Schizosaccharomyces pombe: one gene and its partner. The gene in region 2 interacts genetically with the main gene of each other region. Each region holds a gene or a part of one and is shown on either strand. Other genes may lie near its edges.

Region 1 (3,686 bases), on a different chromosome or scaffold from region 2:
CTCCTATTCCGCTGAAGAATAAATGTGCTGCAATTATGCTGATCCATTACAATATCACAACTTTTTTTATGGGATTTTCCTATTATTAACATCATTAGTTAACTGAAGCAGTCTAGCATATTGATATTATAGTATTTAAATCATTTAATCATGGATTTAATACATACCTTTTAGTTTGTATGTGATATGAGAAAAATTGTTCTCAATGAGGAATAATTAGATGACGAGTCTGATTCAATATGAAGAAAAGACTCTTAAAATTCCATTCATGCTAACTGAGAGAACAAATTTTTAACCTAAATCTATGCCAATATTTTACTAACATAATTATAGGTTATTCATGAAAGGTATCCAAAACTTAATTGAAAACTAGACTTCAAATATGTACTTTAGGGTATTATTAGGATGATTTATTAAATTTCAAAGACAAGCATATGTCTGATGCCATTGGTTTTGAAGAAGTGAAATGCGTCTGATTATAGACAACCTAAAGTTATATATTTCCATGTCCTAAGTTTTCGTGTTAAAACAACTTTTCTAACGTATTTGCAAGACCTTAAACTAGTTAGATACACTGAAGTTAAGGAGGCTGTTTTGTATAGGTAAGTAGATCAGCTTGAGGTCGAATTTTAGTTCACATGATGTTTTTACTTTAATCACGACGGTCTACGTAGTTTCTACATTGACGAAGATTGCCTGTGACAAGGCGCTTTTTCTGAATGTACTTTATATATCGACCTCTAATTTTTAGTGTCGGTTCGTTTATTAACATTTTTTAGTTCTATAGTTTGAATCTTCTAGAGTTTTTATAAAGTTAATCATAAATGAAAATGTCAATCTGACAAACAAAAGCTAATTTTGTAAGTAAACGTAATATTGAACAAGTATATGTTAAGGATTCTTTTCTTTTTTCTTTGAACAGAAGGGATTTACGATCAACACTCATTTAGTGTTTCACATATAGATTAGCGTGCTATTCTGGGTAGCAATTTCGTCTCGCAGCATGCAATCAACTACGAAGTGGAATTTTGCCAGTTTATTAGGGATCGATGGGCATTATGTGATACTCTCAATACTGTGGCAGCACGAGCTTTTGTTAGCTACTGAATCTTTTAAAGGCTAGAATGAACATACTGTGTTTCTCAAAGTCATCCAAACCCTCAATGAATTGTGAGTTTTGTTGTAAAGCACCTTGAGGATTCAGGGACGCATCTGCAATCAGCATTGCTCTGGAACGTAAAGTGTTTAGGGAAATTTGAACCAAGCTGTCGTCTGATATTCTACAATGAGTTAGTAAGATTTTGAATTTGAGAAAAACGTGTAAAGTTTGACTTACAAATGGAGCATTTTCTCGGCAAAATGGTAATAATGTGTGGTTATGTCCCGAATAGATACACTATTAGGATTCGCCTTTAATGCATTTCGTACTACAGAAGAAAATGGTGCTGGCATATGAATACTAACAAAAGAACTATAAAGTAAGCAAATAAGCAAAATTATCCAATTTTCTATAAGACATTACATGTATATAATGTAACATGCAGAAAAAACCAAAAAAAAAAAAAAACTTTACTTACTTAATTGCTAAAACCTCTGCCAGCCAAAAAGGAAGTTCAACTTTAGAGCCCGTAGGAACCTAAACTGTTTAGAAAGTCAAGTTCTATTTTTATAAACTTCACTAACCATACGCCCTTCATGGCCTAGTCCTGGAATGGAAACTGTACTAGTACATGGAACCTTTTGATTTTCAGACAAGATACTATCAATATCATAGTAATCCATTTTTTTAATGTCTGAGCAGAAGGAATGATAGAAGTGTTATTGTTATTTTATCAAAATATGTTCATTTAGAAAAGTTGCAGTTACAAGGTAAAAGTAGGTAGATGCAACGATAAATTCAAATTTGAGTTGGCTAAGATATAGTGGATAAATAATGAACTGTAATTACACCAGTACTAATCAACAAAAAAAATAGAGATAAAAAAGATTTATTTTTACTTTTCTTAACAGAGCATCTAGTTCAAAAAATTAGTGCTGATAAATATTGTATGTTCGAGTACTAAAAATTTGCTTCAATGTTTAACTCGAAAAGTATGTCATACATGTGTATATTCGTCCTTCTGAAATTGGTCGAAAAATTTTATTAAAAAAAGGAAACTTTGTTCTATAGTTTCATTAAAGAAACGCATATGCTTGTTTGAATGTTATACCTATTTATGAAACTTGCTCATTATGCGATCAAAATTTACACAATCTTTCCGTAAAACTGATTTTTTTAAATGATTTTTAGTCCGTAATCTACAAAACATGATTGCATTGTATTCAAAATTATTTTGCGTATTAATTATTTAGTATGTCATTTCCAAATGCAAAAAGGTTTTAACACCGACATAGGCCAAATTTCATAAGTTATTCGCCAAGTTTCATCAACAGGTTCATCAAGTCATATACGCTTTAATCCATACTTTAGATGTCAACACCTTCGAGTTTATCAGCAATCTTTACCTGAGTAAATAATCAACCTGCTGCCAAACAATGTTGTAAAATCAAAGCAACAATTTGTTGTTCGTTTAATTAGTTACTCATAAAATTAAAGAGAACTCAGAGTTTACTTGGAAGGTAAATTAAATAGAAGTACCCCGCCAACTATAAACAATTAGTTTCAAAGGTTAAGCAGACTAGGATATACAGGAACTTTACATCCAAGACATCATCAAATATGCTATTCCCCCAATGTTATACGCAACAAATGGATGCCTTCGTAAGAATTGATATCGACGTTTGGTGAACACAGCACGAAACGTTAAAAACTTATTCACTACTTTTTGGAGAAGTACGCATCTTCCAAATGTCTTCACTATTCGGCCCTTGCCTAAACTTCATCCACTGCTGAAGACGCCGCTTACGAAGCCCTTCTTGAGCCTCTTCGTGAGCCTTCGACTTGGTTGACAGACACCATTTAAAGTCTTTAAAATTTCCCTTACATCTGTTGTATTCACCATAACGATAGTAATGATTCATTTGTGAGAACACTGTTAAACACATGGCCATTTGGTCAAAGTAATACTGTAAACTACACGGATCCTCAGGAATCCCTTTTTTCAAGTCGAGTATTTTATCTAGTTCCGCATACTGACCAAAAGTGCTTTTTTCATCATTTTCTTTAAAATTATTCATTATTTAAAAGCATACTAGTAAAAATCAAGTGAATTGTGCCTAGGATAGGTAGCTAACGTGACTGCCACTGAACCTGTGTAGCGTATTAGATCCATCAAGATCCCTTCTGCTCATATCATTGCTGATCTGTAAATTGACCGCATCAAATTTGATCTCATTTATATCGAGATTGATCTATATTATTTTGCCAATTTGCAGTATATAAACTTATTTGATTAAGTTTTTGGTCTCCTTCGCCACGTCTTCATTTTGTTAGTTTAAATTTTTTTGACTAACTTAGAAAGGGAAGTTTTTAAAAACGTTGAAATACTTTTTCGATTTAAAAATATATATTTAATTAATTTTCTGTTCCAAAATGGTTGCTCCTCATCTTTGGTTACGTGCTGAAACCAAACCTTTAGAAGAGCGCAGTGCTTTGACTCCTAGAACTGCCAAGATACTCGCCGATGCTGGATTTCAAATTACCATTGAGCGCTCTTCCCAACGTGCTTTCAAGGACAAAGAATTTG
Region 2 (3,534 bases):
GCAATTCGTAATGGTTGGGTTGAAAATTGGGATGTTACTGTAGATCTCTGGCGTTATGGATTAGAGCAGCAGTTGAAGACTAATCCTTTAGAGCATCCAATCTTGATTACGGAACCATTTGATAATCCCCCAGAAAATCGAGTGAAAACACTAGAAACGATGTTTGAATCTTTGCGTTGTCCTGCAACATACCTCGCCAAGCAGGAGACGTGTGCGGCGTTTGCAAGCGGGAAAGGTACTGCTTGTTTAGTAGACATTGGTGCGGAGCGTAGCTCGGTGTCTGCTATATATGATGGTTTTGTGCTTCAAAAAGGCTATCAGGTTCAACATTTTTCTGGGAATGCAATTAACGATATTTTGGCGCAAACTCTCAGGGATAAGAATTTCGAAGTGATGCCTAAGTACTTAGTGAAAAGCAAAAATCCAGTGGAGATAGGGCAGCCAGCTAATTGTGAGTTACGTCCTCGTGATACTACAGATTCTTATCATCAATTTCAGGTCCAGCGAGTCTACGATGAATGGAAAGAAGAATGTGCTCTCATTTCCGATGTTCCATTTTCATCTGAAACCACGATTGCTGAATCAGAGTTCGAATTTCCAGACGGTTCCCGTATGATGTTTGGCGCGGAACGCTATCAAATTCCTGAACATTTGTTTGTGCCAGGAAGTGATGAAGAAATGAACGAGGAACCTTCGAAGCCAATAGAACAAACCGAAAATAATGAGGTATCACAACAAGATTCTTCGGTTACCAACACTTCTTCTCGCATTTTGGGGATACCTCAGTTGTTCCAGAACTGTATTTCGGAATGCGATGTTGATATCCGTGCTTCTTTGCTCAACAATGTTATTGTTTGTGGAGGCACTAGTTTGATGCAAGGATTCTCTCTTCGTCTGCAAAATGAACTTTCAAAATTATATCCTGGCAGCCGTCTTAAAATCCATGCTTCCGGTCATGTTGTTGAACGCAGTTATGCTTCATGGTTAGGTGGATCTATTTTAAGTAGTCTTGGAACGTTTCATCAATTATGGATATCACGTCAAGAATATGAAGAACATGGTTCTGATCGTTTGGCTTTAATCGAAAAACGATGTAAATAATACGTGTAATGATAATTACTAATCTCTAATGAACCTTTAATTAAAAGTCGTTGGATTTTAGGGAATTTTCCTTAAGTGGAAAAAAAGGGGAAACTTTCGTTTGAAATAAAAAATAATTGAGATATTATTACTTTACGTATGAGACTCTTTCCCTGTCCTTATACCTATCATTTGAAGAGAAAATATTGGATCATGTATTTTGCTATCATCAATAAGCATCAAAAGTTTTGTTTTTGTAACAGATTGTTACTCTGGACTGGTTCGTTGGCTCTTTGTGATATTCATGCTATTGAATTTGTGTAATCTTCCGCAGATTATACATAAAGCGGATTTTTTTGAGTACGGCCAATACATCGATTGGATTTTATGTTGTAAGCAGAAAAGAAAGTCTTACTGACAAAATCATTTTAAGCTACATTAAAGCTCAATTATTTGAAGCTAAATATGCCTTGCCATTTTTTGGATATGAGTGATAGGTTTTAAATTGTACCCCTTTAGATTCTAATTTCTCATCAATGTGATTGTTTTATTCCCTTAAAGCCCTGTCCGATGAAGCAAGCACATCGTACTGTGTTCTGAATATTACGTGAGAATTGTAATCATTGAATGATATCCTTTCTTTTATTTTGAAATGAAACTTTATCTGGTTTCTATAATTTTAGTAGCAATGATTTGTAAGTTGATAATTTGAAGCTTCGTTAAATCATCTCTTCATTCCATGTGTGACGATGTGAGGAACTCGGTTTAATGATACCTTTAGGGCTCATTCAATCCTTTGAATTAGTATACATTACTTTATGAAACTGAGGTAATCCAAGTAAGTATACGCTTCATTTTAAATCTGTGTGAATGTTTAAATAATAAATTCTTAAAAATTCGCATAGTAGGTTCAACTAATAATTTTGTTATAAAAGATCCATGTTTTATTTACAGTAAAATTTCTACTAAGGAATGCATCATTATGGTCTTATGAAAGACATGTCATTTTCCAACGACTTGTCATCCACAACCATTCAATATAGCTTTAAACAACTATCGAGTGTCGTTGTTAATTATACTAATCCGTTTCTTTTAAACTAAACATAATTAGGAAAATCTGTTTAAGCATATCGTGATAGTTAGTGCTTCTAATCACTATGGAGAATGGTTTGGGGAATCGATCAAATAAATTAATTCGGGACTCAAAGCGAACTCAGTATTTAGATTATCTCCCACCTTACCAAGCGGACACCGTTAATGATGTTGTCAACGAAATTCGTGCAGCAGATCGCGAAAGTCTAGGAATTCTTCAAAATGTTACACATGAGGCTAGTCAACCTTTCCAGCCCCAGGACCATCCTTCTGAAGCGGCAGCTCTATTGATGTTTCATTCTTCTAGTATCTACAATAAGCGATGTTTAATGGCTTACCATAATTTAAGGCTGCAGCGGCTTCGTCAATACTGTTGGAGCGGAGGCAAACGAATGGAATCTTGTTTAGATACATCTCTAAGTACTTATGAGCGTGACTATTTAACGAGATATTCAGAACTTTTGGCTGCTTATAAAGGCGCTTGGTCCGAGCTGGATTTGACTGGTTCTTTGGTTCCTCCTAAAAATTTGTTCATAGACGTCCGAGTTTTGAAGGACGTTGGAGATATTGAAACTGAATATGGTACTATTAACCTTACTAAAAATTCACAATTGCATGTGCGTGCTACAGACGTTGAACGACTCATTGCCCAAGGTTTTTTGGCTAAGTTATGATTATCAAACTAAAAAATACGACTTTCTTATAATCTTTAATTAATTGTCTTTTTATTTAATCCTCTGTTTCCCAAATAAGAGTTTCACTGCTTTTTGAACTGACCCTAAAAATTTCATCCATAAGCCATTCATTCCTACCATCTCCACTGTATACTACCGCGAAAAAAAGGTGTTCAATTTTTATACTTGGTTTGCTTCGAAGGGATTCAAAAATAATTATAATTTTTTCTTTTTGTTTTTGTTGTTTTAAGTTGTTTTTTTCCAAAGCCATCCACTTTTTCAGCTTATGTTAGCCAATGCACTTCGACTAGGTATGCTATATTCCTTGATAAACTCGATTATCAGCGCTGTATGAAAGATTGTAGTTATGTTTATGTAATTGATCATCCTCATCGTCATTTCTATAATCTATTTAGATACATTTCGTATCCCAAGTAAGTATTCTAACGTTGAATGTTTAGTATCAAATTCCAAAAAAATTAAATATGATTATGATATCCAGAAAGAAAATTCAGTCCAAGTAGGTCCTTGGACTGTTTATTCGGCATCCAAAAAGGGAACCAACGAAGAGGTTTCAGTGTTTACATTTGATAAAAAGAATTTGTCCACCTTACTAAAACGCGGGTCTATTGACTCCAATTTGAAAACAAACTATGTCTTAGAGCTTTTAAGAAAAGATGTGTCTTCT

The links.
Region 1: of psf1 (region 2) and psf3, extra expression of one rescues a mutant of the other (dosage rescue), as found in Schizosaccharomyces pombe (one study listed by BioGRID).

Annotation. Positions count from the first base shown.
Region 1 is NC_003424.3:526,990-530,675, forward strand, and holds psf3 (GINS complex subunit Psf3), read right to left. Parts: upstream 1,888-3,686; 5' UTR 1,783-1,887; coding exon 1,684-1,782; intron 1,637-1,683; coding exon 1,578-1,636; intron 1,553-1,577; exon of another isoform or gene 1,472-1,552; coding exon 1,337-1,471; exon of another isoform or gene 1,281-1,336; coding exon 1,135-1,280; exon of another isoform or gene 1,076-1,134; coding exon 1,014-1,075; 3' UTR 793-1,013; downstream 1-792. Other genes in the region: SPOM_SPAC227.17C (uncharacterized protein), read right to left, coding at 2,812-3,177; saccharopine dehydrogenase Lys3, read left to right, coding at 3,533-3,686. UniProt on the Schizosaccharomyces pombe protein: The GINS complex plays an essential role in the initiation of DNA replication.
Region 2 is NC_003423.3:2,013,263-2,016,796, forward strand, and holds psf1 (GINS complex subunit Psf1), read left to right. Parts: upstream 1-2,099; 5' UTR 2,100-2,237; coding exon 2,238-2,846; 3' UTR 2,847-3,034; downstream 3,035-3,534. Other genes in the region: alp5 (Ino80, NuA4 and Swr1 complex actin-like protein Arp4), read left to right, coding at 1-1,101; serine/threonine protein kinase Ppk32, read left to right, coding at 3,133-3,157, 3,308-3,534. UniProt on the Schizosaccharomyces pombe protein: The GINS complex plays an essential role in the initiation of DNA replication.